2 linked regions of the Astyanax mexicanus genome follow. The protein of the gene in region 2 purifies or fractionates together with the protein of the main gene of each other region. This does not show direct contact. Links are inferred from orthologs where the notes say so. Each region holds a gene or a part of one and is shown on either strand. Other genes may lie near its edges.

Evidence for each region.
Region 1: the proteins of bicra (region 2) and ss18 purify together in Homo sapiens (affinity purification with mass spectrometry; 3 studies listed by BioGRID and IntAct, counting the BioPlex papers as one, with this or other methods). This does not show direct contact. The link is inferred for Astyanax mexicanus from reciprocal best matches to the Homo sapiens genes BICRA and SS18.

The regions. Positions count from the first base shown.
Region 1 is NC_064415.1:10,637,357-10,654,630, forward strand, and holds the start of ss18 (protein SSXT), read left to right. Parts: upstream 1-10,024; 5' UTR 10,025-10,134; coding exon 10,135-10,203; intron 10,204-12,450; coding exon 12,451-12,527; intron 12,528-14,321; coding exon 14,322-14,406; intron 14,407-15,047; coding exon 15,048-15,186; intron 15,187-16,262; coding exon 16,263-16,487; intron 16,488-16,883; coding exon 16,884-17,045; intron 17,046-17,274. UniProt on the Homo sapiens protein: Appears to function synergistically with RBM14 as a transcriptional coactivator. Isoform 1 and isoform 2 function in nuclear receptor coactivation. Isoform 1 and isoform 2 function in general transcriptional coactivation.
Region 2 is NC_064416.1:29,311,747-29,328,425, forward strand, and holds the start of bicra (BRD4-interacting chromatin-remodeling complex-associated protein), read right to left. Parts: upstream 6,974-16,679; 5' UTR 6,477-6,973; coding exon 6,467-6,476; intron 6,440-6,466; exon of another isoform or gene 5,770-6,439; intron 5,347-5,769; coding exon 5,301-5,346; intron 5,182-5,300; coding exon 5,136-5,181; intron 4,612-5,135; coding exon 4,546-4,611; intron 4,291-4,545; coding exon 2,236-4,290; intron 1,967-2,235; coding exon 1,778-1,966; intron 202-1,777; coding exon 1-201. Other genes in the region: psmd8 (26S proteasome non-ATPase regulatory subunit 8), read left to right, coding at 10,644-10,754, 13,704-13,776, 13,861-13,963, 14,142-14,307, 15,118-15,218, 15,892-16,003, 16,182-16,319. UniProt on the Homo sapiens protein: Component of SWI/SNF chromatin remodeling subcomplex GBAF that carries out key enzymatic activities, changing chromatin structure by altering DNA-histone contacts within a nucleosome in an ATP-dependent manner.

The sequences.
Region 1 (17,274 bases), on a different chromosome or scaffold from region 2:
CCCGTCAGCACGTGAAACAAAAAGCCGGCAGGCTGCTCAAATCATAATGCTCTCTCCGTCTATTGATGTGATGGGGTAGATACAGGCTAAGCTCTGTTTCCAGCGGATTAGGCGACTCGCTGTTAAAGCTAAAGTTGTTTAGGTTTAGATACCTTGTGTTCGGATGTTCTCGCCGCCACTGATCTCACTCTGTAAGCCTGGAGAAGTTAAATTTGCTTAAATCATTTGTCAGTGTGGACAGGGAATTCTTGGAAACATTCAAATAGTTTAATATTTTTATGAAAAAAGCTAAATAATTAATTAAAGGGACACTAAACTTCCTGATTTTTGGTGACTCCAGGGGGACTGGGTGATGTATGGGTTTAGAGGCAGAGCAGGAGAAAGAGAGCTGATTGGCTGAGCTGCTGTAGCAGCAGCAGTGTGCCTCTGATAGCAGTGAGACGCAAATGGTTGGACATCAGCAGGGAGGCGGTATTATTGATTAATTGATCTGCATATTGTTATGTGTCTGCATACTAAGGTACACAGACACATCATCCATGCCTATACAATAAAAGCATTTTAAAAAATGTAGGCAGGACTCGTATGTTTCATTACTATAAAGGAACATTTCAGCTATCAATGGATATAATATGGTGTAAAAGTGTATAATAAAAGTGTTTACATTATAATAAAAAAAACACTTTTGTTGCATTATTTTTGTTATTTACAGCCTGCAACATAGAAGCCATGCACTTAATCATATACAGCTCTGGAAAAAAATAAGAGACTAAGAGACCACTTAATGATGATGTTTTTCCTTGATTTGACCAAATTAAAAACCGCTGGAATATAATCAAGAGAAAGATGGATGATCACAAGCCATCAAACCAAGCTGAACTACTTGAATTTTTGCACCAGGAGTAAAGGCATAAAGTTTTCCAAAAGGAGTGTGTAAGACTGGTGGAGGAGAACATGCCAAGATGCATTAAAACTGTGACTAACAGGATTATTCTACCAAATATTGTTTTTTGAACTCTTAAAACTTTATAAATATTAACTTGTTTTCTTTGCATTATTCGAGGTCTGAAAGCTCTGCATCTTTTTGTTTTTTCAGCCATTTCTCATTTTCTGCAAATAAATGCTCTAAATGACAATATTTTCATTTAGAATTTGGGAGAAATGCGTTCTGTAGTTTATAGAATAAAACAACAATGTTTATTTTACTCAAACATAAACCTATTTATAGCAAAATTAGAAAAAAATGATTCAGAAACTGAAGTGATCTCTTGTTTTTTTCAGAGCTGTATGTAAATGAATATATGATCAAGGGTGTACGATAGGGCCCTTTATCTCTCAATAAGCTGTGTTTAAAAATTTATGTTTGAACAACGACTGTTTTACCTGTATGTGAGCAGCTATATGGCACATACTGTCTTGTGTGTCGCTACAGAAAACGAATAGGCAGTCTAGTGTTGGGTGTTTTGAAAAACCAAGTGTTGCTAATGAACGAGTAGATATAGCCTATGATGCAAACTGTGCATCAGAGTCATCAAAGACATGCCCTGCAGCACAACGTATGCTGAAGCAGGCAAAGACTGTTTCAAGATATGCAGCAGTACACGACAAGATAAACATATTCCATCTTTTTAAAAGAGTTCACCAGTAGTGCAATCTTCAGTAGATGTGAATATAATAAACACATTTTGGTAACTAAATTACAAGGAACACAACAAGTTAAGATAAATTATTAAAACTTATCATATTGACTTGCAAATATGATGAATTTGACTTTGATTAGTTTGTAGTCTGACAGAATGTGTCATAATCCCTATGAGGTCAATAATAAGACGGCACACTGAACCCAATTCTTGTTCCCCCACCCTTAACTCACCATCATTGTGGTCTCTGGGTGGACTCTTGTCCACTGGGTTCACCTTTACTTGGGTATTCAGTTATATTTGATATACATGTAATTCTGGACTGCCTGTCTACATTGGTGTTGGCCATTAGAACAAGTTACCTTTTTTTTTGTATGCAAAGAGTGATTTTTATGCTGGCTTGAAAACTACAATGCAGTAAATTTGCAGAGTCTCTGCTGTCAGTAGTTTATTGCTCTTTTACAGTGAGATTCTTTACAATGTAAAGCTATTTTTTATGTGGATATATTGTGCTGAAATTAATTGGTAACGAAGACCTCTAACATTTAAAGTACATATGGTTATTGTAAAGAATAATTACTGTTCTATAATGGATGTATATATGTCAAAACGTACTCTTAAAAAGCTTTAATACTCTGTAATTAATCCACAGTATTTTTTTTTATCATATTCTTATAATAGAGTTATATGCTGTAATCTTTTTCCACAGTAATTTTTATCCGCCTGTAACCACAGGACCCGAGTTTAGAAAAGCGAAAGTAAAACATTTTTTTGTGCTTAGACTTATTTATTCATCTGTAATTGTTTTTTTTTTATCATTTTTATTACCTTTGATTTATGACCTTTTCTTATCTATGATTTTATGATTCCTATTAATTTCTTATTTTTATGTGTTTTTGTTTTTTATCTTATTTTAAAGTATCTTGTACAGTATATCTTAATAAAATGCTGGGTCTTTTTATTTATTTATATTTTTCCTTGACATCCGTTCCTTACGTATTGGCTCAGCTACATTGTAAATGAGGGCCACCATCAATAAAGGTTGATTGAGAACATTAGAACACATATTACACAAGATAAGATGTTTAAAATGAAACTCTCTGAATCAGGACACTTATTTTCATGCAATTTGGCTCTGTACACCAGTCAGAAAATTCTGGATTGAGGTTGTTCGATACCTTTCAGACTTAACAGATATTAATATACGACTTTTACCTTCTTTATGCTTACTCGGAGATGATATGGCTTTGGAACCGTTAGAATTATGCAAAAAGAAAAAAAAAATCCCAATATTGGGATTTAAAACTTTAGCTAAAAAAACTATTTTATTAAATTGGCAGTCAAACAAAACATTACAAGATTAAAGTGGTTAAATCTTTTAATAGACTACATCTATTAAAAATCAAAAATTGTTTCACACACTGAACACAATCAACAGCAGTTTAGTATTATTTGTACGGTGGCCGAGAAAGCCCAGCGCAGTGCAAATTGAAAAGCACAAAACACATCCATCAAAATTACAACACAGGCGCAGCAAAAAGAAAAACGCGCTGCAAACAGAACCACAACACAACAGAAGTGAGTCACAACACAACAGAATTTTCCCGGGGGACCTTAAAAGATGCTGTAACAGCTGTGTACAAAGGACCATAAGTGGCAAACAAGCTTCTGAAAAGTAAGTTATGATTATTACCTGTGATTACCACGGTTGTTTGCATATTATTAAAAGTTCTGCTTCACAAAACGCCTTGTTTGCCACTTATTGTCCTTTGTACACATAGTGAAGTCCGAGACGTTACTGAAGACGCAGCTTAGCTGGTACAGCATCTTTTAAGGTCCCCCGGGAAAATTCCGTTGTGTTGTGACTCACTTCCATTGTGTTGTGGTTCTATTTGCAGCGCGTTTTTCTATTTGCAGCGCGTTTTTCTATTTGCAGCGCGTTTTTCTATTTGCTGCGCCTGTGTTGTAATTTTGATGGATGTGTTTTGTGCTTTTGCAGCGCTTTTCAATTTGCACTGCGTTGGGCTTTCTCGGCCACCGTATATTTGGCCCCATTATGAAATCTTGTAATGGCTAGGGGCCGGCCGAGTGCTTCTTCGGCCGCCAGGGGGAGGTCTTGAGCCCCTAATCAGACCCGATCCTCCACCCGTTTTCGTTGCTCCGCCCCATTCGGCGGAGCCTTATAAGGCGATTAAAGCGGCCGCGTCCCAATCCGCTCGCTGGTTCAGCTGTTAGAGCATTGGGCTGCGGCCGCGACAGCCTGGGTTTAATAAGGACTTACATATATATATATATATATATATATATATATATATATATATATATATATATATATATATATATATATATAAATAAAGATATATATATATATATATATATATATATATATATATATATATATATATATATAAATATACACACATAATATAATTGTATAATATTATATATCCTATTAATATATATATTAACGATTATATATTATTATTATTATTATTATTATTATTATTATTATTTCCCTTTTTTCTTGAGTTTACCTGCTTTGAGATCTACTGTTCTGCCACTGGGTTCTACAACTCTCTGGGCTGGAGTGCCACCTATCTGTAGCACTCCAACCCATTACAAATCTATAGTAGTAAAGGAACCGATGGCACAGCTATTTAATTAAAATTTGAGCATAGTAATTAAAAAGACATAACCCCCAAATATTCTATTATTATTGTTTTTTTCTTTTTTTTCCTTTTTTCTGTCTGTTGTTTTTTTTCTCCCTTTCTCTCTTTCTATTAATATATGTCCTCCCTTAGGAATAAATCATTGTTGCAGAGTGAAATAAAGTTTTAGACCTCCAAAGAGGGTGGTGGGTAAAATAAATAAATAAATAAAGGTTGATTGATTTATTGATTGATTAAATGAAGATCGTTATATGGACAAGACAAGCTGTGTGTGTTTGTGCGAATTTTCACACCTATGTGTCACCAGTGGGTGCAATTTTATGAGCGCTGTCCAAAAACATTTGGACATAAAGTATGCCTGTCTGTAATATTTTAAGAATTAAAAAAATGTATCAAAACTATTGAAAAAATAAAACAATATATCAGGAATCAAGCTGTGTATGTGTGTCCAATTTGGTGTGATAACTTAAGAAGCTTTTAAGCCTCTTTGTAGACCTTTCAGACATCTGAATCTATCAATCACCCCTGTGAACTAATCTGACTCGGACACCAGGTGAGTCAGCATTACATAATTACATACATAATTAAAACAAATATAGGTTTCACTGCATATTTACATACTATATACTAAATCTATCTATATCTCAGTTAAGTCAAAACTATACGATAGATCTGTCTCACTGTTTTGGTTGATTGACAGGCTGTTTAAATTGAAATCATTTTTATATGATAATCCTCCAATTGAAGGTCATTACTCTGAAATTCTGGAATAGACGACTGGAAGCAATGACCATGAGCATGAACAATTCAGTCGATGGCGTCCGAGTTTTATCCATTAATGCAGTATTGAGAGACTTAACGTGTGTGTATAATTTATAGAAATGTACTTCATCCAGACTTTACGCCTGCAGTCATGTTCTTCTGTGGTGGAGAGCATAATAAAGATGCTGCTTCTGAGCAGAATTCAGCGGACATCAGGATTCCTTTCAGTTACTCTGAGCAGCAATCCCGCTAAAACATTTCTCTGAATGCACAAGACCTCAAACTGCTCAGTGATTACTCATATGGGCCTCAGACAGAGTTATCAAGTAACTATGTACAAATACTTTGTACTTAAGTAAGTAGAAATGTTGGCTATCTATACTTTAATGGAGTAATTATTATTTTACAGTCGACTTTTTGCTTCTACTTCATACTTTTTCACACACTTATTTAAAAATAGCCTTGTTACTTCTTTTTAATTTCAGCTTGTTTTCATTCCGGCTTCTCATTGTTCAATAAAACCGCAATCCAGATAAATCTCTCCATCCAGATAGAGTATAGAGAATCTGATTGTGATTGGATGTAGAGAAGTATAAACATATACCATTCCGACTCCCTATTGGTTTATACCATCACAGCTGCATACGTCACGTCCCCCCCCCCTCCCCCCCACACACACACACACACAATCCAGCAAGAACATAGCAGACGTATGTAGCCTAGTATGAAGATGATCCGTGCAGAGACGCAGAGTCTCCCTGAAGCTGCGGGAGTCTCCCGCATTTCAGTAGTGGCCCCCTGATGCCCGCAAGTCACATATAATCTCCCGGAATTCAGAACGAGTGCCCCAAGAGCGCACTGCACACAAACGCACACACAGGCGACAGACTTTTTTCTCCAATCGCGTGTGGGAAGGAGAGAGAGAAAACAGAGAGGATTCTCATTGGCCTGTTCTCTGCAAAGAGTCTGTGAGACAGCCAATCAGTTTTTAGTGTGGGCAGGCAGTGTTTTCCCCCCTCCCGGACGGGATTTGTTCAGTGAGTGTGAGAAAGCAGATCATGGCGGAGGCAATATTAATAATTATTGTAATATGATATGAAATATTTTTGATGTTGTGCAATTTTTTTGTGATATTGTAACTGTCATTTTTTGTCAAATAAAGGCTTTTTTTCAAAAAAAAGAAAAAAAGGAAAGCAGAGGCAGGGCCTTCCAAAAAGAAAAAAAGATAAAACTCATTTCATTTCACCTCTGAATACTCTAAATTTAATTTAAAAAACGTAAAATTAATTAATATAAAAGTAAAGTTTCGTTATCCTTTGGTGTGTGTGCGCAAGTTTTTTTTGCTTGTTTGTTTGTTTGTTTTTTTTTGGGGGGGGGGATGGGGGGGGGGGGGGGGTAACCTCCCTGAAATCAACTTTTGCAACTTGGGATGTCTGGAACTAGAGAACTCCAGACAAACTCCAGTCTAACTAAATTTCTTTAATATATTTACATTCTACTAATATACATTAATTTTCAATGGCATTTTTACACCTTACATTACTTTAACGTTTATACTTTAAGTAGTTTTGAAAGCAGTACTTTTACATTTTTACTTACAGAGTAAGGAGCTTGAGTTGATACTTTAACTTTAACTACAGAAGTATTTTAAATCCTACTATCTAAACTCTATACTTAAAGAGTGGATCATTTGGCCTCACATGGGTGAAGCGTGGGCTGGGTGGGTTCCAGGTAGGTATAGGATCTGTTGTTACTGGGTCCCAGTTGAGCATTCCAATTGGGTCCCACTGTTAGAGCCCACCTTAATTTTACATGGGTCTCATCTAGGCCCCAAATGCAGTGTATAACCCAGATATAGCCCATATTTAAACTCTCTTGGACCCATCATTGACATCCTGATGTGTGCCCAACATGGGCCCCATGGACTACATTTTTTGGGATCCAGTTGGGCTTTCCATACAGGCCCCACATGAGCATCGTATTTTGGAAATAATCTCAAACATTACTGACAAATCTATCCTGAAAATCCTAAAAATGCCAAGATGTAAAAAACAAGCCTAAAATGTTGTTTGTCTGCTCCAGAGATTTCTATTCTTTTGGCAGTATTCACTGCAAGTATTAGAAGGGGTGTTCACAATCATTTGCACAAATTGTGTATGGTATAAATATTCGCAATATAATTATGCATGATATAAATATTTTACTGAACTGTTTTCAAGAACTTTTTAAGGAAAATTTTAAAGCATTTCACGTCAGCCGCTCCACATGACGCCTTGGATGGTGAAATCCAACTGTTTCACTGTTTTCCATCTTTCCAAATTGTTGCACTTTGTTCTTGAGGATGATATGGAATGCAACTAGCCGCTGGTCAAAAGAATACTGATGAAGCTATTAACATCTTCAGATTCTTTGAAGTTTTGACTGATCGATCGCAGGGGTTACACTGTTACAACCCGCTACATCATTCCTCTCAGCAGGGCTCTGTCCAACCACCTTAAACAATTCTCACCCAAATACGACTTCAACTAACTCAAGGCTTCATTTACAAAGAGCTCTTACACAAATACTTCAAAGCCCAGACTGACCAGTGAAATTCAGCAGCACGCAGAAAAACAGGCAGCCTATTAAACCACCTGTCAGCAAAACTGGACTGAGCATTCTGTCTGTAGTCGTGCATCCTCTCTCCCTTCATCCTACCAGCAAATAAACAGAAATGCAGCTCTACACTTTTAAAAAGTTAGGTCTAAAAGTGTTCTTTGAGGTGAAGACTCCTTAGACTCCATAGACTCCTTTCAATGTATAGATCTAAACCTGTAAAATGAATCATGTTATCATTGTTACTATATGAGTACATTAGACAATAAAAAAAGCTTCAGTAATATTGTGAGTAAAAGCAAAAGTAAATTGCATTTCTCACGTCCAGTAACAGAAGGAGCACTTTGTGCTGCAGACTGTCTCACGTGACTTGACTTATTAGACTGGTGGCAGAGTGAGGTAGAGTAAAGCAGAGCAAGGTGGAGTGACATAAAGGCAGAGTGAGGGTGATTGAGGTGGACTGAGGCAGAGTGAGGTAGAGCAAAAAAGAGTTAAATAGAGTGAGGTACAGTGAAATATGGGGAGGAGGCATGAAAATATTAAACCAGAGCAAGGTGGAGTAAAGTAGAGTGAGGTAAAATGAGTCAGATGTAGGTAGAGCAATATAGAGTGAGGTAGAGTGATATAGAGGGCGGCAGCATGAGGCAGAGAGATATAGAGTGAGGCAGAGGGAGGCAGAGTGAGATAGATTTAAATAAAAATTGTTTTAATAGTGTGTTACTCTTTAACCCTTTGAGACCCTGAGTACATTCCAATGGGCATCTTGTGTTTTCTTCTTTACTTCATATCCTTTCACATAGCTCAGATTGAGACCTGCTGTCCTTCAGAATATACATTTATCAGCCAGTCAAACATGAGTTCAGCCCCGCCCACTGCACTGGAAAACAATAAAAATATCTACACACTGAAGTAAAGCACAGCTGCATCCCACTTAATGAGGTTTATTTTATGGTTTATTTTACCACTTAGAAATGATTTGTAAAACAAACAATTATATAAAAGATATATAGAATAAGAAAAAAGATATAGTTTTACTTGTTTGTATTACTGGAAATAATTCAGGTCTGAAAGGGTTAAGAAATGGCAATTTCTCTAACCCCGCTCTTCCTTTATTTCGATTTTCCATTTTTTTTCATACTAAACTACAGTGTAATTATTTGAATTGTATTTCATCTATTAGTATGTCTACTTTTAGTATGTCTCCTCAAAGATAAATGTGCTTCTTAGAAGAATTTAAAATAGAAAACATAATCCGGTTTCTTTAACACATTTTTTTAACATTGTTATTTTCTCAAAACAATTCTGCATGTGTTCCCGAATAGCTTTAATATAGTTTTTTTTTAATATTCACCCCGTTCTTTTTCTGCAGTAAAATAACTTATTTGCATTCTGAAAATGTGAGGGCTTTGACATTTCCTACAAAAAACACTTGTGCTGGAAACTAAAGGTTTGGAGGACATGAACTGTTTGATTTGTATTTAGGAAAATATTGATTTTTAAGGAATGTTAACTTTTATTATTATTATTATTATTATTATTATTATTATTATTATTATTATTATTACTATTTATATTGACGTTAAGGGAAGTGCTAACTTCATTTTACAATTACAATCAAAATTTGTAGTAACATTTATTATTAAACATGAAAGCTTTTTATGTAATGCTTCAATAGAAATCTTCAAAATTGAAAATTGACAAAAATGCTGACCTGTTAAGGGGTTAAATATACATTGTAAAAAAAAGCAGAAAAAGAAAACACATTAAAGAAGAGGTGGAGAAGAGGTGTGTCCAGACTTTTGACTGGTCCTGTAAGTATAGCTTTGGAAACACAATTCAAAAATATGAACCACATGATTAAACTCCCGCCATCTTCAAAAAACACACAGTTCAGCCCCTGAGCACATCTAATCCAGAGGTGGCGTGACCACAATAACCAGAACTACAGCCCTTACAGCGTCCTTTAAATACTAAAATAAAACTTACTATAACGTTACACATAATTTAATTAATATAAAACTAATATTAGCAGTGTTTTTAGTGTGAGTTTTATGTTTTAATGGTAATGTAAATCCTTATAAATAGCTGGAGCTGCCTGTGGCTGCTGCTTGTGTGTCTATTAGGACTGAGTTTTGGACCAAACCATTGTGGAAGAGGTGGGGACTGCGTGACCTTGTATAAATATTTGAGTAGTTCTAACTTAATTGTTATTAAATACACACATTTTAAAATTTAACGTCATTTTAAAGGTAAATTATGCGTGGATTTCAAACATTTAACTATGTTAATGTCCGTATTTAAGCGATAACACCAAGCCGTAGTGGAGTGACCCCCCTAAAAAGGGGAGAATAGAAGAGTCCACCAGGCTGCGCTGCTGTAGATAGCTGTGTATGTGGGAGATTTTTGAAGGCGAGCTGAGAGATTTTTAGTTTTATCGTCGGATTTTCTCTTTTTTAAGAGCTATAACCATGTCGGTGGCGTTTGCGCCTCACAGACAGCGCGCTAAAGGCGATATTACACCCGCAGGAATACAGAAGGTAATTGTTTTTAATACAGAAAAGGGGTAACAAACGAAACGGTGGCAATTGGTTTCTATGGAGGGTTGTTAGCCAGGAAGGTTGCTAAGCTAATTAGCTTAGCTATAGCTAGCGTATGTCTAAATATTGTTTTTTGAATCAATGTAATCTTTATTAAAATTTTGTTTTCAAATTTCCTTCTGTTAAACAATCCAATAAACGACCACATATTCTCATTTTAGTATATTTAAATGCGCTAGCTAGTTAGCTAACCTATAGCTATTGCTTAGCTAGCTATGTAAGCTAGCTAGCAAGCTAGGTTAGCTGTACTGTTAGCAGGCTAGCTAGCTAGCGCCTTTGTTAGCTAGTTAGCCCAAAAAACATATAAACGCCTTATTTTAAGAGAAAGTCTGGTCGTGTTTTAGCGTTAATAGACTTTTTACAGTCACTCAGCGTGATAAATTAAGTGGAAAATTCCAGTAAGGTTTCAATAAATGTGCTGTGAATTCACGCTGTAGCAGAAACAGCTCATGTAGGTTAACCTAGCTGGGTTAGGTTAGCTAACTAGCTAATCTACAGCTAATATTAACGTTAATCTGATTTGTTGTCCTTTCTTTCTCTGTGTGTAATTTAACATTATATTAAACCCACAGAGGGTAAATTTGCAATTTTACAGCAGCGCAGAGGAGAGAGCAGCAGTGTCAGGAAATATACATCAACATATAATATATATATATATATAAAAGAAAATAAACATTTAACGTTATATGTACATAACGCTAATAAATAATATCCCAGACCAACTGTTTATCCAGACATAATTCTGTAATAAAAACAGTTTAAAATCCTAATTGTAACATATATGGTACAACAACAATTTAAAGTTTTGCCCTAGAAGTCATGTAAACCTATTATATAAAACGTAAAAAAAATATTAAAGCATGTAAATCGTTCACATGGTTAAAACAGACCTGTAAAAGCAAAAGCACAAGCACTAACCCAGTACACTTACATTCTGTAAATGAGTATTTGCCTTGTTTTGACAGGCAGACAAAATGCATCAGAAGTAGCAGATTCTGCTTTTCAAATGGTCTGTTATGCATAGTGCAGTGATTCTTATTTAAAGAGGAATTTTCACTCTCTGTAATATAATGTGCAGTAGGGTTAGTGTTTAAGTATTGATGGTATCCTTGATATGTTTATTGTTAATGTGTTTAAAAAATTATCACTATGAAAAAAATATCAATGTATTGTCCAGATATATATTTGTAACTTGCAGAAGGACTACACACGCAAGCAAATGTTACATTTTAACTCTCAATCAACTGTGTACAAACAAAAAAATGAAAGGCTTCTTCTGAGAAATTTGTTTTTTACATTTTTGGGGTTTCACATTTACTTAGCTAACTCATCCTTACATAGACAGATCACTGCCTTAAACCATTTTAAATGCACAGGTTATATACAATAATGGATCTATTGAAATAAAGTATAAGATAGAAGTGTATATGCCTAGAACAGTTTTAATGTTATAGCCACTAAAAAAGAGCAAGGCACACATATGAACATTAAACATTAAAACATTGTGAATTATAAAAAAAAAATCTCTGAAGAATGTTTTCATTGGTTTCACATATACCCAGGGTTTAGACAGTTCTGGGGTAGACTTTATTGTCTTATTAAATACTCTGTAAAAAGGTTTAAAAACAGAATGGTGAATGAAACACAAACTTGCTTTTATTGTTTTGTGGACAAGCTTTACCGCCCCACAACCCAATTCTGGATGGCTTTCTACACCTGAACATCTCCAGAGCTTTCCATTTCATCCAAAGAGTTTTTCAGAGCATCATATTCTACTGGCAATGCATTTATTTGAAGATTATACAAATTGTATACACAGTTAAACATGTATATCAGTAATGGTTGCACCTTAATTACTGATTAGATGGGCTGTTCAACCCCTTCTACCCATGCCTTTGCATAATCCCTGTTTGAGAATCTGACCCATAGTGTTTTGAGCATAATTGAGTCCACTCCCACTGGTTGGGTTTGCCTGCCCAGGACAGGAGGTTTGCTTCTCGCACATATAAGCTGTCTTTTCTCTCTTGAACACATGAGGTTTAGGGTTAAATCACATGGTTAGAATTAAAAAAACATGTACAGGAATGAAGACTGTGGGTAACATTTTTTGTTTAAAATTTGTTCAGAGCTTTTTCTGAGGTCAGTTTAAAATGAGTAGAATTAATTCTAAACTTTGTTTCTTTCCAGCTTCTCGATGAAAACAATCAGTTGATTCAGTGCATCATGGACTTCCAGAGCAAAGGCAAAACTGCAGAATGTTCACAGTAAGTTTGTTTTTTGTACATCTTACACCATAAAAGGTTAATGCACTGATATGTTTTTTAGTTTAGAAAAAACGTAAGTAGTTGTTGTAGGTAGGACTGCAATGTTTATTTTGTACTAGAGTTGCACGGTGTACCGAAGGTTCGATTCTTTTTCGATACTACGTCATCACAAACGATTCGGTTCTTTAGCGTTCGATGCTTTCGATACTATATAGCCCAGTCACTAGCTTCAAATGAGTCAAAATAGTAGGCGCGATTTGATTCAATTCATAAGAAAACTGATTCACACCGCAGCAGTCGGTGTGGCAGGATTCAGGTAAACTTAGTGTTCTGAACAAATGAATCGATTCACGTGTGAATCGATTCATTTGACTCGCTTGAGCGACACACGCACGCGCAAGCCAGCAGAGCAGCAGCGAGAGAGAGCAGCGGCGAGTGTAGAATGGCGACGTCTAAAATAACAGATGTCTCTCGTCCGCGACTTGTGGACAAAACGGGCGCGAGGAGTGAAGTGTGGGCAAATTTTGCTTACATCGCTGATGAAGAAGGGAATCCGACCAACACCACAAACCCAGTTTATAAACGGTGTTATAAGTCTATCCAGTGCAGAGGAGGGAACACAACCTGGCTACGCATTTAGCAGACAAGCACCCTGATCTCTACAAAGAGCTGAGAAGTCGACAGGTTAGTGGAGTTAGTCAAGATACACTCTGTCTGTAGCGTTACTAAGATTTACTAGCCCTGGCCCGCCGGCGGGCCAGAAATTTATAATATTTAATATCTGGCTGTGTTTATGAATAGTTATAGGTTCAATATAGACACCCAAAATGCCATTTTAAAGCTTAGAATCTCGGCTTTTCAGTTATCTAGCCCATTTAGCTGGATCTCCTTTCAGAAAATAAACATTTAGGGCGAAATATGCCTTGCTTCTGAAAATATGAAATCATAATTTTCATATTTCCGTTTCTCGTACGTCCATATTTGATCGAATGCGGACATGTTATACACCATTCGAACCGTCTGTCTCTCCGGATTCGCTCCGTTTTACTGTAGGATGTACGGTTCCTGAATTAGAGCTGAAAGAGCGCGTCACAGCGCGTGTTCAGAGTTAAAAGCTGCTTGTTTTTCGCTGCAGGGTTACCTCAGGTCACTCCCTCCACCCCCTCAACCCCCACCAGCGGCTCCCCCACGCTCTTACCTTCAAAACCAGACTTAAGAGAATCCATCAATCCAGTCTCCTGCAATCCCCAATTATATACAAACAGCGCATGAAATAAACTAAAAAATTATAAAAAATTATATATATAAAAAATAATATCCACTTTATCTCCTTATTAAAAGCGTAATTTTCGAGGCTGCATGTGATAACGCACGTGTGGTTAATCTGCAGTCCAAGGAGAACAAGGTTGACAGAAGACCATGTGGACACACTTGTTTTCCTGGCTAAGAACCTTAAACAGGCAAAGAAACTTCCCACAGTGTAGTTTCAGAAAAGAAGAGGTTTTAGTTTTTAGGAAGTGTTTAGATAATTATGTTATAGTTAAGGTTATAATAACGAAACTTGTTTTTTGTTCAAATGTTTCATTTTAGAATAAAAACGTTTGCTCCGATTGTTCAGTGTTCAATACAGTCCAATCAAAAATAAACATTTTATGTTCAGATATTTTTATTGTTTTTTTTCTTCCAAGTATCGTTTTGGTATCGAGAATCGTGATACTACAGTTGGTATCGGTATCGAAGTCAAAATTTTGGTATCGTGACAACCCTATTTTGTACTCTCTTTATCCTCAACAGTTACCAGCAAATGCTTCACAGAAATCTGGTGTACCTGGCCACAATAGCAGACTCCAATCAGAACATGCAGTCTCTTCTACCTGCTGTGAGTACTGACGTTGTTTTTCACTCTGCTGATGTACTTAATAAGGGAAAGCCACACAGTTTAAGTCTTAAACATCATCTAACAGTGGTCTAAGGCAGCAAAGGGGATTTAAAACACATACTCAACTGCTGTGTTTTTCATTACTGGTACTTAGGGCTCCAAACTGTGCACATTTGTTTGTGTTTATTTGTGCTTAAAAAAACGCAATTAAGACCCTGAAGGCTGTTGTTCCTAATTGGTACAGGAGAACCAGGTCTGATTTTATGTACTTTTAAGCTGAGACTGAAATCTGCATTAAATTCCTTCAGTTCACATCCAGTTCCTTTTGATTATTTGGAACATTCAGTTTTTCCCACAGAACTTTTAGAATACTTTCCATGTTTCTAGTAGTCCACTGGCAGTGCTTCTAAACCTAATATCTCTTATAGATAAGAAGCTGATTTGCCTTTTTTTTTGTTCCTACATGCTCTGGCATTGATTTGTAGGCAACCTTGAGCCTGGTAAACTAGCATGCCTCAGTTTATCATGGTTTGTAGTTGTCTGTAACAGTCTGTATTGCAATATGTTGACAATTGTGTCTTCTGTAACCTAATTTGACTTGGTTATTCGAAGTCTGATTAACAGAGTTTCTCTCTCTGCAGCCACCCACCCAGAACATGCCCATGTCGGGGGGAATGAATCAGAGCGGCCCCCCTCCACAGCCCCCCCACGGCCACAGCATGCCGTCAGACGGCCCCCCTGCTCCCCACATGCAGAACCAGATGAACGGCCAGATGCCTGGTAAGGGAGCGCTGTCCCACTCTGCAGCTCTGTCTTCATCTTGCTGTCGCTTAGCAACACTGCAGGCTCCCCTCTGGATGGGTGATGATATCACCCGTTTCTTTGTGCTGTGTGATGTTTTGGATGCACTGTTGCATCAGTTTTGTGTTTATATGGATTTTGTAAGATAAAATACACTAACTGGCCACTTTATTATAACCACACTTCTGTTTCTACACTTGTTGTCCGTTTTTATCAGCTCCTCTGGCCATATTAGAGCAGTTTGTAGTTCTACAATTAGGATCTCACTACTGCAGTGATTCTAGTTTGGGTGTTTCAGATAAAGCAGTGCTAAGGGAGTTTTAAACCGTTGCGATAGTCAGCCACATCGTAGATGTAAAGTCAGAGACAGAGGATCATCTGTTGCAGAACAGTTGATCATGTGTTGGTCATGGACATTGTTCGCAGGATATTTCTGGTTGGTGAAATATTCTCAGTGCAGGACTGATGCTTAGGTGTTTAAAAACTCCAGCAGTACTGCTGTGTCTGATGCACTCGTACCAGCAAAACACATACTACCTCCATATCAGTGTCACAGCACTGATAAGAATGACCCATCTCCCTAATAATACCTACTGTGGTAAAGGGTAAAATGAAAATAATAAAATATGCAAAGAAATGGAAGAACTACAGTTTGTAGGTGGTGTTATTAAAATGGCCTTTTGGAAAATAAATTGATTTCAGAAATAATTTGCCAACATTGACAAATAATTTATTCCCTACTCCTCCATGCAGTATTCTTTCAGCTGCGTTCAAATCAGCCTGTAATGTCGCCATAGGGTTTGACATTTTCACACCTGAAAGAGCAGAATGAGGTTCGAACCAGGGTTTATGTGTTTGTTGCATTGTATACGTTTGGCTTCTCTCTATACTTTACTTTACATTAATGGGTTTGTAGAAGGTTGTGCATCACATGGTGTTGTCAGTTTGGCAAGTTGTCTTTCCACTGTGTTGTGCCGAATTCCACATTGCTTTTAAAACTTGCTTTACATAAAGTGTCTCATTATATTGTAAAACCCTGTATGGTTTCTCTGCAGGCCCCAACCACATGCCCATGCAGGGCCCTGGTCCTAACCAGCCACCCAACATGCAGAGCGGCTCCATGAACATACCTCCCAGCAGCCATGGCTCCATGGGGGCCTACAATCACACCGTACCCGCTTCACAGGGCATCCCCAGCCAGGGACAGATGAACATGAGCCAGGGACAGCCAATGGCCAGCTATGGTCCCAGACCCAGCATGAACATGCAGCCCAACCAAGGTAATGCAGGGCTTCTCAGATGACCTGACTTTATGTTAAGTTAAGATTATTATATAAATCTGGCAGTTGTTATTTACATTGTGGCAATGTCCTGATAAATGAACTTGTAAACACACACTTTTATAATAGAGCATTTTTGCATAAATTTGCATAAAGCATATCTATTTGATTACACTTGAATAATCCTCAATTTTAAAATGTTTTTTTTTTTTTTACTGTGGTTCTCCCAAAAGCTTAAATAATGCACTTTTGAAATATCTGCAACCTGTTAGTCTTTTGTTGTTTCTTCAGGCATGTTAAATACTTTAGGATATATTTTATATAATATATATAATGTAATATAAATGACAAAGATTTACATCTTGTCTGTTTTAATAAACATTGTTTTGTCTTTAGGTCCTATAATGCACCAGCAGCCTCCCTCTCAGCAGTATAATATGCCTCCTGGTGGTGGAGGGCAACATTACCAGGGTCAGCAGAATCCAATGGGCATGATGGGCCAGGGTAACCATGTGATGGGCCAGAGGCCCATGCCTCCATACAGGCCACCTCAGCAAGGTTAGACTTTTTTTACTACCTCCATGCTCCAGCTTAGCTCTGTTGGAAAATATTATTTTTATACTTAGAATGAAGATCAGTAAGATTTGCTTCTGTTTCTGGATTACATGCGGCCCAAGTTTGTTTAACAAACTCTAAAACTGAACAATTTTCTGTTGCCAAAGTGACCCTGTATGCTGTATGTATAATACCGTACATGGATTTTAGGCAATAAAGCACAATACTATAA
Region 2 (16,679 bases):
GGGCTGCGCCTGGGGCTGAGAGGGAGGTCGGGACTGGGGGGGAGGATGAGGAGACTGAATCTGCTGGCCCAGTGTTAGAGGAGAAGCCTGAGATGGCTGTGGGCTCTCTGACAGGGTTGGCGTGGCGCTGTTGGAGGGTCCAGACTGAGAGGGGGAGGCGCTTTGGAGTTTTAGAGTCTGCTGATGTGCCGAGGATGGAACCTGGAGATCAGGAAGGAAGAGGTATAAGAGATTACTTCACCACTCTGCTTTCAGCTCATTTTCTGGATTTAAAATAACATCAAAGATTGGGGGAGGCAACAACAAGCAGCAACAACAGCAAGCAGAAATATGCCAGAATTAACTTCGAAGAAAAACTTGAAAATCATCAGCTATAAAACAGAAAAACATCTTTATTGTACAGAATATTTAAAACTGTACAGACAAGTTTAAATGTATATTATGATGTAAAACAACATGATCTGCACTTGAGAGGAAAGGGGGGGGGGGGGGGGTTGTTGCAGCGGTGGCAGGAGGACAGGGGAGGTTCACATTTTAGATTACAAAGATTGAACACCACGAGAAACCCACAGGACTTGTGTTAAACATGTTACAAAAATAAAAGAGGAACAGTTTTAATCCACAGCAGGACCAAAGCAAGCAGTCATGACTGAAGGCTCAACTTTTACCTTGCTCTTACGGGACAAGACGTGGGGTTTCATTGTGGGGGGGGGGGGGGGGGGATGAGTAGTATAATTAAAGATGTATAAATTAGCTGTTAATAAAGGAGGCAAGGTGTTCTTCCAAAACAAATACCACAACTGACTATTCATTCACACAAAGTGAACGAGCTATCAATCATTTTTAAGGTTCCTGTCTACCATTAACAATAAAAAAAAAACAGAAAACCATATTGTGCACAAAATCAAAGCACAGACTGATTAATACTACTAATGTACCAAGCGTGATTGGGTACTGGGCATGAAAACGTTATTTAAGAAGAACATTCCAACAAAAGCAAACAAAAAAAAAACAAAAGTAAAAGACTGTGGTGAATGAACTCATGTTTGATTTGTAAACTATTCTATAAATCTGTGAAGGCACAATCAATCACAAATCATATGGATCACGTTTTTTAGTGTCAGTTTTTTTGGAAAGAAGAAAATGGGGAGGACGTTGCATTTCTCAGGGCTCAGATTTTAATTATTAGACTTCAATATCTGACTTCTGTGATATTTCAGTGCATTTATTAAAGAAATACAGACATTCGTTGAAAGAACATTCAGTATACTCATCTGCATGCTAAAAAATATATAATTGTGTGCACATGTTTATGAAGCTTTTACAGTTTTGAAAATGAATCTAAAATACCTCGGAGAGATCCTCTACAGGTGTTCTTACATACAAACTGAATGTTAAACATGAGGTCATTTCCCAAACAGTAATACATCTTTTAACATAGAAAAAAAGAGGCTGTGAAAAAGCACATAAGGCACCATTCTTTGAATTACTCGATACCCACTCCACATTAGCAAAATAAGCGCAGACGTGAGGAGAGGAAACAAATACTAAAGATTATAAAATAACAGAAGCAGCAGGAGTGTGGCACAGCGACGGAGCAGGGGATCTGGTGTTGAGCAGAAAGGTCTGGCAGACAGGAAGGTCAAGATAGAGTGTGTGTGGGAGTGTGTATGTGTGGAGGGAAGGGTATAGCTTGGCTAGGAGAGAGGGTGTTCCAGTATGTGACCGTGCCAGCAACAAGTGGGTGGGGCTTAGTGCAGAGCACAAGCTCATCTACCTTGTTAACCAATGCTGCCATGTGAGCGGGGCCGAGGGAGGGGCTCGGACTCTGCCCCGGGCGAGTCTCAGCTAACGGGTTGTCATGGCCTGCAGGGGCGGGACCAGAGCTGCCGCCGCCGCTGACGATAACAGATGCAGGTACGCCCACAGAGGCGGGCGGGTCTTTCCCTGCTTGATGCTGCTGGTCCTGACACGAGCAGATTGGTCAGTTCAGGAGGGGACACTTACAACAGTAACCCAAAGCAGAGCACATTCAGCAGGGTTTTTACAGTGTAAAAATACATACCCAAAGCAGGTGCAGACCTGTACAGCTGCACGGAATGCTACGTTTCTGCTATATCTGACTACTGAATGTGGTCCTGATCACAGGTTAGTTTTATTATCTGCAGTTTACGTTAGTTTAATGAATACTACACACTACAAATACAAAACAGAGGAAAAAAAACACACACTGACCTGCTGCAGGAACATCTGCATGGACTCTTGACCGAGGATCATACTGGGGCCTGGTGGTGTGAACAACACCTTTCCTGGACTGTGCTGGGCCTGGTGGCCCAAACCCAGCGTCGTCACTGAGGGCGCAGATGTCACCACTGTAGAGGATGGAGCTGAAGAGGAGGGAACCGATGCTGGCGCCGAAACAGATGGAGCCGTCTGTACAGTCAGGATGGAGGTTTGGGGTTGCGGTTGGGCAGCCTGCTCAGTTGAGCTACCCAGCACAGTGATGCTCTCCCCAGGCTGGCACTGTGCCATTGCTGCTGCTCCAGTGCTGCTGTTGGTGGGAATGCCAGTAGCCTGCTGTTGAAGGGTTGGCTGCAAACTGACTGCCGGGCTTAGTCCCTCTATTGACAAGGAGTTTTGGATAGGCATGCCCTGTATAACCGTCTGAACGTGTCCCGTCACTGGATGCGCTTGGTTCTGTGTCTGGGCTAAGGAGACAGGCATCTGGAAGAGTGTAGGGTGGCCCATCTGTCCAGGCTGGAGCTGGATGGGCCCAGAGAGAATGTGGGCAGCACCAGGATGGCCCTGTGAGGCCAAAACCTGGCTAAGATTGATGTTCTGATTAGCTGTTAAAATCTGATTAGCAGCGATTATCTGTCCACTTGGTCCCGAACTGGTGATAATGTGACCCCCAGGATGCTGAGCCAGGATCTGTCCTCCAGCCTGAAGCTGAGGGAGAAGAAACTGATGGTTCTGACCTTGCAAGACAGCCTGAGAGGGAATGACTATGCTGCCCTGTTGATTTAGTAAATGGACACTAAGGGGTTTGCCTGATGCCGGAGCAACCTGCGACTTAAACAGAGCCTGGGGGAACTGTGCCCCCTGGGTGGTGGCCTGGGTACTCAAGACAACGTTTGAACCGGGCTTGCCAGTTAGGAAGGCTACATTCTGAGCAGCAGACACTGGAACCTGCTGCACTCCAAGAGCCTTACTGGCATCATTCTGTAATACATGTGGGGTTGGAAGTTGTTGTTGTTGCTGTGGCTGTTGTTTAAAGAGTTTGGGTGGTATGGTGCCACCTTGCGGAGGTTTGGGTTGTATTGGAGTTGGTGTTCGCTGGATGATGACATTCTGCATAATTTGGCTCTGTGGCTGAGGTTGAGTTTGAGATCCGATCCCTGTGCTTAGGGCAGCACCACTAAATCCCACTATGCCACTTGGTGTGGCCATTGCAGTGCCGCTGCTGTTGGTGTTTGTGGTGCTAACACAGACAGCAGGGCCATTCAAAGATGGGGACCCTAGTGTAGCCTTGCCTCCCTGAATCAAAAGTCCCCCTCCAGAGCTAAGCACAGAACCTCCGAGTCCAGTTTGGGCTCCAGAACCTGCAGTCTCTGGCCCAGGTTGATGCAGCTGATAACTACCCATGGGTTTAGTCAGGATCTGCTGGCCAGATGGATTGATAGTCATTACAGTGGGTTGGCCCACAACCTGAATCTGTCCAATGCCCAAATGTCCCGACTGGCTTCCATTTGGTAGAGTCTGAAGGCTTGAAATGGGTTGAAGGGTTACATTTCCGAGCCCGACAGGCTGCATGAATGGCTGGACACTGATGGCCTTGTTCATAACCTGTGGTTGAATCTGCAGGCCCGGGTGAGCCAGAACTGAACCAAGCATATCTGTGGTCGCAGTGGAGGGAGTGGTAGTGGAACCTTGGCTGGGAAAGATCTGTGTAGCTCCTCCAATGCCCACCCCAGGCAAACTACTGGTATCAGGCAAAGGCTGGACTACCTGTGTCAAATTAGTTAGCCCGAAAGAGCTAAGATCAAGCTCAGCTTCCGCCTCTTGAAGGCTCTGTTCTGTAATGTTAGCTTCCGCCAGACTCTGTTGCAGAATGTCACATGGTTCGTGATTTGAGTCAACGCCATTGCTCCCACCATCTCCGCCTCCTCCTGGTGAGCCTCCGAGGATGTCATCGTCCTCCAGGAAGTCCAAATCGACGCTGACTCTGGGCAGCCCAGATGGCTCGCTTGTCGATAGCTGAGCCGGTGGCTGGACTTCAGGAACGTGTCCCTAGAGAAGAAAGAAAAGCCATGGTTTGCAAGTGAACACTGTTTCATGCAAAAGGTGAGAAGGGTGAAGGGGAATGGTAGGGATGGCTATGGGATGGTAGACCTCCAATACACCAAAGGACCTGACAGCTTTATTGATTCACCTCTGACACTTGCCAGTACTTCTGCACCGGATCTGATGGTCGGGAGCGGAGAAAGCATGCTACGTAATGGGATGTACACGAAAGGGTGGGGAAAAATGGGGGACAATACTCACCCCAGTACCAGAGAAGAAAGAGCTGGACGGGTCACTCGAGCCATCCAAAAGGTCGTCAGTGTCCAGCTACAGACAGACATACCCCAGATAGGATAGACAAACCGCCACGCCACAGACAAGGAGACAGAAGGGTCAGGGAGAAGATGCAGAAGGGCAGAGGACCAAAGGTGGAAAGGCAAAGGAAAAGCAAAGTGAAGATAGTGTCCAGATCCATCAGAACACAAAAGCACAGCACACAGTTTGTGCGCAAGTGAGCAACGGGACAGTTAAACAGGTAAAACAGGAGTCAAAAGACAGGAAACATTAGATTAGTACGTCGTATTTGTGTTTTAACAAAAGAGGAAAGATGAGGGATGAGGTAGGAGGTGCTGCTTTAGTTGACAGGAAATCAGCAGAACAAACCATTCAATAGACAGAAACCATCACCGGAGAGGAGCTGGACAAGCTGAGCAATTTTAGCTAACGTGATGTACAAACGTCAGAGTAGTGTTTATGTGCGTGTGTGTTTTCAAAGAGAGGCTTTTGATAGGACTGTATCAATCTAACATCCCAACACTTTCTAATATGATGCATCACCAGGAACTACTCACTTGTGTTTCTGATCCATGAAGAAAGTCGTTGAGAGCTTGAGGGTCACTGCAAAATGAAAAAAATCAAATCAGAAGACCAAAATATACCACCATGTTGATCCAATAATTCAATATTTAGCATGCAATTCTCTAGATTTGGTTGGGTGAAAAGAACGGTACACTTACCATATAACATCTAGCAAGCACCTGCCATCTTCATCATCCATGTCAACTAAAAATCACAAACGTTGTTTAGTGTTTAACAATACAAACTTTTCCAATATAAAAGCAATGTATAGTTAACTATTACAAAAATTATTAATGATGTATATCAACATTAAAACCCTTTTAAACAGGATTAATAACGTTTTTTTACTAATTTGTGTTAAAAAATACCACATGCTATTTTACAGTTTTATAGGAAGAGCTATCACATATCAACAAACGCAAATAAAGTACCAAACATTAAAATGTCAGATTTCAAATGATAACCAGATTTACAAAATGTTAATCCATGAGCATAGAGGTATCAAACCCAGACCTGAATATCTTAAAATAACACTGTACAATGTTGCTGTTAAAAAAATATTAAACATAAAAATCTAAATGATATCTAAAGTTATAGGTTTAAGTGATAACTATAGAGAAAATTTACCTGTAGCTCACAAACAGTGCCTATCCTCACTCCTCACCTAACATATAAATAAAAAACACCATAGACCACAGAACAGCTTACAGAACTTACAGATCAACTTCATACCGACTTTATGTTCATGACTAAAGATAAAAGTATTGATACGTTTGAGTAAATCACACTGTATTTACTTTTGGGTAAACAAAATTGCATTCCAAGTATTATTTCAAGCTGAGCCAATCAAAACACAGATTTAAGAAGGAGATCAAAACAAGGCCATCAGTTCAGTCTGATAAATACTCCTAAAATAAATAAATAAGCTCCTGTAGTCCAGTATGTGTATGAGACTGGTCGCACTGGTAAGAAGAGCTGGAGGAGGGAAAGCGCGCTCTTTCACCATCACTCATAACAAACCCGCACTCAAAACAAACCTCCAGAAACACGCGCACAGAAACTTTATTGACCCTTAAAATCATTTTAAACCCCTTTAAACCTTTAAACCATTAAAGCCTAAAAGCCCTGTGCTAAATCCAACATCAGCTCGAGCTCAGTGTTCTGCTCTCAGTCCCACAGGTTAGTTAGTTAGTTCTCTAGGGTCCAGGGTAAACTTGACCCAAGCACTGCAAACACGGTGTGGAACTGAGGGCAGAAACATATATAAACTCTCCATTACCGAGCAGAACCGAACCGAGCCCAGCCCAGCCCCCCTGTAACGCACCTAAAAGCATCCCACTGCTGAGGGTTCAGGACATGGACGGAGGTTCCGGAGCTCCGCAGCTCGGGTTTAGCTATGTGCGGAACCACAACTCCGCTAGAAACAGCGCCGAAACAGCGGCCCGCGGGGAGCGCTCCGCTCGGCCCGGGGAACCGGGGGAGAGCTGCCGGTGGAGAGGCGGGTTCGCAGGGCGCGGGGTTTCTCCTCGCTCGCGGTTCTGCAGCGGTTCCAGTTAGCACTAGCAGCAGCAGCTGTAGCCTGTTAGCACTGTTAGCAGCAGCAAAGGCAGTTCGGCGCTGCTACCAGGTTCAGACGCAGCAGATAAATCTGACTACAATAACTGGACCCGCCTGCGTGTACGTGTGTTACACGGCCGCCCCGCGAGGCCCACACGGAGCTCGGACCGCGGCGCTGTGGATTCGGCGGGCCGAGGCGAGCTGCGCACCCTGGTATCTTTATCCTCGGAGCTAAAGCTGAGTTTATGTGGGAACAGTCCGGGACCGGGGGGAACGGGGGAACGGGAGGGGGGGGGGTGCTTGGGAATTCGCTGTTAAATCCACCCGTTCTCCGGCTCGTGCAGGACCGGGCGGACTGGGGGGCTTCGGGCGGGTTCGGGGGTCGGTGTGCAGCATGCAGATGTTGCAGCTTTGCAGATGTTTTTGAGATTAAAAGAGAAAATGCTACATTGTAACAAACTCACCCGAGACGGTAGAGGTGCAGGCAGCGCGGGGTCTCCGGAACGGCCCTGCACGGGCTCCCAGTCAGGACCCAAGCACAGAGCGCACAAGCAGGAAACGGGGGGCCGGCGCGTTCGCCTGTTCATAAACCAATCAGCTGTAGGACCGAGGTCGCGGATACAGCCCGCCCTGATGTTTAAAAATTATCACTCTATGTGTGCTCGGTGCTCAGAGAGCTCGTGCCCTCATTTTAAAACAGCATTTTTTATTGTGTGAAGGCGTAGCCTAATAACCCAGGCTCGGATTCAAGCCTGAAGCTGTTGCTGCTACACGTTTATTAAACGATCTCTTCGTTCATTTGTTACGTATACGCTTAAGCGCAGCTGCTAAATTCATGAAAACGGGGTTCTTGGCCGCGCGTGCACAAAACAACCCCATTAAAGTGGAGCGGTCAGAATAATCAGCAGGCGTTTGAGCGCGCGGCTCCGACCCGGGTCCGGCACCCATTATGGCATGGAGAGCTATTTTTGCTGAAACACTGCGGAGCGCGATTGGACCTGTTTTTAAACATCTCGCACCGAGGGCGGGATCTGATCCCGTTTATTATTTATATCCCGTTTTGTCGTGAAGAACGGAGGACCCGAGCGGATGGGTACCGAGTGACGGGATTAAAAGGGGGCGTGTCCTATAGTTTTGTTTATGTCCTGTGATAGGTCGAGTTTGAAGTTGTGTACAGGTTGGGTGTGGCCTGCGAGAGTTTATTTTGGCACACGGCTTTGAAAAATAAATAAATAAATGGGCTACTGATGGATCTTTTTTGTGATTCATATCAATCGACTCACCTCACCAAAAAGAGTCAACTCTTTCGGTTCCTGAGCGGCGAATTATTTTGTTTTGGATTTTTTTCTTCCATAATTAAACTGCAAAATTTAAAACAGATTGCAGGGACGACTTTTAAAGGCATATATAAGCTATTTTACGCCACAGAACATTTCTACATAAAATAGTCTATAGTAGAGATGTGGTCTAACGCAAAAAAAAAAAACAAAAAAAAACATATATTTTAACACGCTGCACAGAAAAGAACATGCATAATTGTATAATTATAAATGATGTTGTTACTCTCGTCTACTCAATTAATGCATTCTGTAAGTGGTCTGGTTCTTTTTTGAGGTTCATGGACAAAAACATTTATTGTTTACGTTACCTTATAACACGTTACCTTATAACTGGATCACCTGTATCTGAATATTTTGTGTTAGAAAAAAATAACCCTTGAAGTCATTCATATTAACAGGGTTATTGAAGGTTCAGAAAGTGATAAATGTAATCATCTTTAGAAGAATATATCAGCCAATCAGGATGTCAGAATCTCATAACAGGAAGCCAGGATATATATATATTTTTACAGCAATTGATGTGTTGGGGTTATTTACCCACTATCACTTTATTCATCAAAAATAATTCATGAGGCTGGAGTTATCCTAAATATCTGAGTGTTCCCTGATTGGGTGAGGAACGGAAGATATTAAGAGGAGAAAAGGATGAGTCCACTGATTTTAAATGAGAGTGTGGTCCTTTTTTCTATGTAAGAAAGCAAAATATTATTTCTCTGAGCTCTGGAACTTAAAAAAACGGACCAGGTTGTTTTTACCCGCAGGTTGTCCATCATCTGGTTGGGGTTTACTGGACTGGACAAAACCAGATGCTAGTCTGATGAATTTGTTTTGATGAATAGGTGCAAACAAAAAATTCTTAACGCAGAAAACTGAAGTGAAGTGAGACACACTTATTATTCATTGTATAATGTAGCTGTCACGCAAAAACATTAATCGTAATTTTTTTTCTCTTCTATACATGGTGTGGAACTGGTAGTTCTTCATGAAGAAAATGCCTATGAATAATATTCCAATTATAATGCCTATTCTAGACCAGCTGGATTTCTTTTAGCATGGCAGTATTTAAAACCCACTTTGAGCCTACCCACTTTATCCTTTCACCTGTGAACTGCTAGACAGGCCCTGCGAGAGTCTAAAATGAATGGGGGGTGAATGGAGCTAAACGGCTAAAAATTAGAATTTAAAATAGTTAATCCACTTTGCATAGATATTCTTTTAATTTTGTAAAGTAGAATAATGTATTTTGCTAAAAAAAAAACTATATTTTTCAGTTTTTCTACAGCAAAATTATTTTAGGCAGAAAGTTGTTAGCGTTACTGCTGCAGTAAGCTGATGAGTTACAGCCAGAGCTTGTTTAATAACAACTGGTGTTTAAATGCATTAAACATTGTTCTTTGTTGAACAAATATTCTGTATAAAAGTTATTAAACATTAATAAACTTGCACAGTTGCTCTATATGTACTCATTCATTTTGGACTTAATCGGGGGCGCCCTCTGGTGGACAAAAAAAAGGAATCAGATTCTCAAGTGAGTTTATCTTTTAATTTGGGAAATTATGGGAAAAATAACATTGTTAAGTCATGAGACAGCAGTTTACTATGATATGACACATTTGGGTAATTAAACAACGCAAAGACTGGCAAAAGCCACATTCAAATAACTATAAAATAATAAAGTAACCAAGTATATTTAAAAAAAAACATATTTGATATATATATTTTCTGTTTTTAATTTTCAACATACACTTTCCTTTTGATTCTTAAAATTATTTTTGATGGCAGATTTAATGTTTTGTGTAAATTTAACTCTATAGATTTCACAATGCATTTTTTTTTAATTAAATTAAAGTGTTTGATCATGGTGTGACTGCTAAAATAATACTTGGTCCCTCTGTATATATTGTGGCCTCTTACTCAAAAAAAATCCCAGATTCACTGCTCTATACTGTTTTTTGTATATAAATATTTTTATTTTATAACATTGAATACAAAATCTTGGTGCAAAGTACATTAAAGTAGGGAAAATAGAAAAAGGCACATACAACAGTGTAGGGCAAAAGGGAAAAAAATTGCAAGCATTCAAAACAAAAGGAGTTTGGCAATATGTGAGGATATTTTTTGGGCACATACGGACTTAAGATGTGTAGAGATGACTTAAGATGTGGAGATTTGCAGCAATGACTGGATCTACCGCTGCAGATATTCTTTTGTCATAGTGCTTAAACAATTTAGATTTAAAGGCAGTTGTGAGAACAATATTATCACACTTCTTATCTGTTAAGTTGCCGTCCCCTTTTGTGAATTTGGGTAGGAACACTAGAGTGCGGTAAAATGTTTTGTATCAGATGGATCAAAGCCACAGGAATGGCTTTACACAATTTCAGATATTCTTTGTGAGTACAATCCAAATCAAATTGGTCAACAATTTCTTTGTGATTTAACAGAACACCTCTACTGTCCATTAAGTTAGTTACAAACCCGTCAAGTGGGTCTTTTCCTCTCTAGCTGTCTGGGAACGACCTCTCGTGTCCATAGCAACAGCATTTTACGACAGTAGCAGGCCGTATTCCAGGCGGCCGGTGTCGTGGGTTTTGCAGAATCACCATGGCGGCTGTTCTGAGAGAGACCGCGGGTCTGTATGAAACCCTGAAAACCGAGTGGAACAAGAAGAGTCCGAACCTCAACAAGTGCGGAGAGATCCTCACCAAGCTGAAGGTAAAGCGGGCAGTTCTCTGTTTAGCCGGATAGATCAACGAGACCCGCGTTTATTACTGTTTTCGGGGAGCGGAGCCGCGGCTCGCGCAGCATTAGCAGTTAGCGATTAGCCAAGGGCTAAACACCGAGCTCTGTCTGTTTGTGTTTATCTGAGATATACATTCAGTTAATTAGTTATAAACAGCTGATTGATGGAGCACCTCCTATATTTATATGTTATTTCTGTGAAATAATGCGGTGTTTTTTTAATATAATGAATGTAGTGTTACTAACAAGCTGTGCAGTCAGCTGAGTTAACAAATTAGCTAGATAATGAACGCCGCTCTGTTTGAGCTAACTTATAGTTAAATAATTGATATTTAGACCTGACCACTGGAACAACACAATCAGAACCCAATCAACTAATTAAGTCTTATATCAGCATTTTAACATTAGCTTAGTTCGTAATTATTAGTCTAATACAGCTGGATATGTATGGCGACATTTGGCTGAGTAATGTGTGTGTATGTGTGTAACATACACTCACTCACACACGTGTGTATATGTATATATATATATATATATATATATATATATATATATATATATATATATATATATATATATATATGTGTGTGTATGTGTTATGTTATACACACTGTATTGCCAAAAAAAAAAAAAAAAAAAATATATATATATATATATATATATATATATATATATATATATATATATATATATATATACACTGCTCAAAAAAATAAAGGGAACACTCAAATAACACAATATAACTCCAAGTAAATCAAACTTCTGTGAAATTAAACTGTCCACTTAGGAAGCAACACTGATTGACAATTTCACGTGCTGTTGTGCAAATGGAATAGACAACAGGTGGAAATTAGCAAGACACACTCAATAAAGGAGTGGTTCTGCAGGTGGGGACCACAGACCACGTCTCAGAACCTATGCTGTCTGGCTGATGTTTTGGTCAGTTTTGAATGTTGGTGGTTCTTTCACACTCGTGGTAGCATGAGACGGACTCTACAACCCACACAAGTGGCTCAGGTAGTGCAGCTCATCCAGGATGGCACATCAATGCGAGCTGTGGCAAGAAGGTTTGCTGTGTCTGTCAGCGTAGTGTCTAGAGGCTGGAGGCGCTACCAGGAGACAGGCCAGTACACCAGGAGACGTGGAGGAGGCCGTAGGAGGGCAACAACCGAGCAGCAGGACCGCTACCTCCGCCTTTGTGCAAGAAGGAACAGGAGGAGCACTGCCAGAGCCCTGCAAAATGACCTCCAGCAGGCCACAAATGTGCATGTGTCTGCACAAACGGTTAGAAACCGACTCCATGAGGATGGTATGAGGGCCCGACGTCCACAGATGGGGGTTGTGCTCACAGCCCAACACCGTGCAGGACGCTTGGCATTTGCCAGAGAACACCAGGATTGGCAAATTCGCCACTGGCGCCTTGTGCTCTTCACAGATGAAAGCAGGTTCATACTGAGCACATGACAGACGTGACAGAGTCTGGAGACGCCGTGGAGAGCGGTCTGCTGCCTGCAACATCCTTCAGCATGACCGGTTTGGCAGTGGGTCAGTAATGGTGTGGGGTGGCATTTCTTTGGAGGGCTGACAGCCCTCCATGTGCTCACCAGAGGTAGCCTGACTGCCATTAGGTACCGAGATGAGATCCTCAGACCCCTTGTGAGACCATATGCTGGTGCGGTTGGCCCTGGGTTCCTCCTAATGCAGGACAATGCTAGACCTCATGTGGCTGGAGTGTGTCAGCAGTTCCTGCAAGATGAAGGCATTGAAGCTATGGACTGGCCCGCCCGTTCCCCAGACCTGAATCCGATTGAGCACATCTGGGACATCATGTCTCGCTCCATCCACCAACCTCACGTTGCACCACAGACTGTCCAGAAGTTGGCGGATGCTTTAGTCCAGGTCTGGGAGGAGATCCCTCAGGAGACCATCTGCCACCTCATCAGGAGCATGCCCAGGCGTTGTAGGGAGGTCATACAGGCACGTGTAGGCCACACACAATACTGAGCCTCATTTTGACTTGTTTTAAGGACATTACATTAAAGTTGGATCAGCCTGTAGTGTGTTTTTTCACTCTAATTTTGTGTGTGGCTCCAAATCCAGGCCTCCATTGGTTAATAAATTTTATTTCCATTGATGATTTTTGTGTGATTTTGTTGTCAGCACATTCAACTTTGTACAGAACAAAGTATTCAATGAGAATATTTCATTCATTCAGATCTAGGATGTGTTATTTGAGTGTTCCCTTTATTTTTTTGAGCAGTGTATATATATAGAATTAAGCTTTTATTATTTCTACAATGTCACAACATTCATATTTGCACCATTGCGCAAAGTCTCCTCCAGCATCTCAAAGATTCTCAATGGAGTTCAGCACTTTAGACAATCCGTGTGTAAAAATGATGTCTGATGCTGCCTGAATAATCTGAGCCCAATGAATCCTGTCATTGTCATCTTGGAAAATGCCTGTGCCATTAGGGAAGAAAAATACATTAGTGGAATAACCTGGTAGGTCAGTATATTTAGGTAGTCAGGTGACACATTTGGCACATAAATAACTTTGCTGAACCTAGACCTGACCACCTTCAGCTACCCCAGATTATTGCAATGCCCCCACTGGCTTGTAAGGTAGGCACTAAGCATGTTGGGTGCATCACTTCAGCTGCTTCTCTTTCTCTTCTTGTATTTTTATGATCTCTTGCGAATTGAAGTCGTTTTTGATGGGTAGCCTCACTGATTAATGTTGGTTTTCTTGATGTTAGACAGCTGTCCCAATCCTGTGAGTGTGTAGAAAAGGTCTTACTTTCACTGTTATACAGATCCCTGAGTTCTAGTGTTGTTTTTCTTCCATTTGCTTTCACCAAATGTTAAGTGATCATTGATCACCATCACCCTTTAAAGGCTTTTTAAATATTTGATTTGCAGATATCTCTTTTGGAACTTAATTTTTTGCCAACCACTGGGACCAAACTCACCAAACAGCAGCTGATCTTGGCCCGTGAGTATATTCCTGGAAGACATATAAAAATATATGTATTTTTAGCAATGGTGAATTTCAACACTCAGCTGTTGTGTTTTGCAGGAGATGTGCTGGAGATTGGCGCACTGTGGAGCATCCTAAAGAAAGACATCCCCTCTTTTGAACGATACATGGCTCAGCTGAAGTGTTACTATTTTGATTACAAGTAATTTTTACTTTCATATCAGAAAGTTTTAACTCCTTTATTTTCTATTACCCTTGCTGGCATACCAGTATGTAGAATTGTAATTTGTGGTTGGTGGTGTTTAATAAGAAACAGTAAACCTTTGGCATGATAGAATTTTCTATTGGTTCATAACAGTTGGTCATCATATCTTAAACAGGGATGAATTACCAGAGTCAGCGTACATGCACCAGTTGCTGGGTCTCAACCTGCTCTTCCTGCTGTCCCAGAACAGAGTGTCTGAGTTTCACACAGAATTGGAGAGACTCAGTGCTAAGGACATTCAGACCAATGTGTACATTAGACATCCAGTCTCATTAGAGCAGGTGAGTGTGAAGAACTGTGACAGATGTGGGTCAGTACACATGTTGTAATTATGATAGGCTGATCCACATTTTTTTCCATTTAATTCTAATACACATTTAAGACATCTTTCTTTTTTTTATTTTACTTAATGTTTTTATTTATTTACTTTTTTATGTTATCACAAATATTGTTTGTGTTGTGCTTGATGCCGATGCTGAAATAGACTTAAGTACAGATGAAAAATATAGATGAAATCACTGAATTTAAATGCATTTTAGAGTATTTTTTTTTAAACAGAATCTCCATAGGGTGTAAATTTACCAAAAGGCTGTGAAATCCACTATTTTCCACTAAAGACAGTTACTGGTAATTGAAAAAAAGGATAAAATAACATATATATATACATATAATCTCTTTACTCTTAGCTGAAGTTTAGTGTATTTTTAGAAAATACATACACTACAACAGTGTTGCTTTTCGGCATTCCCAGACTAAAATACATTTAAACAAGCAACATTTTACTTGAAACAGCTAATTTCACTAACTAGCTTAGTCATTACAGCTTTTTTAGCATAAACAATCATGAAATCGTGGCAGATGCTGATTAAACAGACTAAATGGTGTAATTCAGTGCGAGTAACAAGTCTTTCTTTATTTCATTTCTACACTGAAATATCTAAAAAAAAAAAAAAAAAAAATCTTATTTAGTCAAAGCAGCAAGGAATTATTTATTTACCGAGGCTGAATCAATATTGGATTGGGCCAGTCCCATTTCTATTCTGTATACTCTTTTGCCTGTGGTAACTTATTGTGTCTGGTTTCTTTTCCAGTACTTGATGGAAGGTAGTTACAACAAGGTCTTTCTTGCAAAAGGAAACATTCCTGCTGAGAGCTACAATTTCTTCATAGACATTCTTCTCGACACTATCCGGTAAGGATAATTTGTTGTTGCAGTACTTCAGTAGTAACTCCTCTAATGCCAGCATGGTTTTTTAGGGTTTATGTAGGACTAATAAATGTAATGTATTTAAACAAAGTGGTTAAAGTGATTTTAAGTACAGTCCCCTACTCAAGAATTGGAACATTGGGGCTGATCCCATTATTTCTCCTGAAGGCTGAAAACCTTTGGGTTTGACATTCAAAGATGTGTTTGAGACAATAAATCGGTCTAAGACAGGACCTTTAGTCCTGCTTGTGAAGTTCCACTGTTCACCGCCCAGTTTCCCACACACCTGGTCCAACTAATTAAATAATTATTAAACCTTTTCAGAGGTGAACTGGTTGTTTGAACAGGAAAACCACAGGGCAACAACTCACAGTAGATTTAAGACCACAATTCCCATTCCAGTCCCATGCTTTAGACATGGCTGACATACCTAATTCAGCTGGAATAATAAATTAGTATGATTTTCATACTATCAGGTGTTTTGTAGCAGAGAGGCACATGTAGAAAACACTTAAACTTGGTTATGGATAATGCATCACTAGCATTAACCTATGTATACATTAAATTAAAATGGTAATTAATCAAACTATTTATGCATTTATAAAATGTGAGTGTGCGGTTCTACATTCAGTACAAATCTGTGACTCTTTCTTTTTAGTGATGAGATTGCGGGCTGTATAGAGAAGGCATATGAGCAGATCCAGTTCAACGAGGCCACAAGGGTGCTTTTCTTCTCTTCACCGAAAAAGATGACCGAATATGCTAAGAAAGTGAGTGTACAGTTTTTTTTATATGGATTTTTTTGTATGGGTACTATTAGAAAACTGGGGAATTTACCAATGTTTAGGCCAAATAAATTATGGTGATTTGCTGTTTCTGTAAGGGTATAGTTGCTTTGAGTGATATCATAGTGACCTTTTTGACCTTTTGTGTGTTGTATCCCTGTAGAGAGGCTGGACACAGAGCCCTGATGGTTACTACTCCTTCAGCTCTCAGCAGCAGCGGACAGAGGAAGTGACCATCCCTTCCACAGAGCTGGCCCAGCAAGTCATTGAATATGCAAGACAGCTTGAGATGATTGTGTAGAGCAGGGACAGATTCACCTCCTGTCCTGTATATGTACACATAATGATTAATTGGGCTAATGCCACATTTACCCCCGAAAGTGACATTCAGACCACAGTGCTTTCACAAAGACAGGATTAATTTACCAAAATGTGCGGCTGTCTATACTTCTTATATCAGCAATTACACTCTTGTGCCTGCATGTTGACAGTTTTGGTTGGTCTGTGAGAGAGAGTGATTGGTGTACAACGCGAAGTTTTCAATAAAAGACTTGCATCACAGAGGCACAGATTTATCACTGAGAATTGGGTAAAGTAACACCACACCTTGGGTACCCAAGTTATTGTCCACATGTTGGTGTTTGTTTTGTTTGAAGACTTT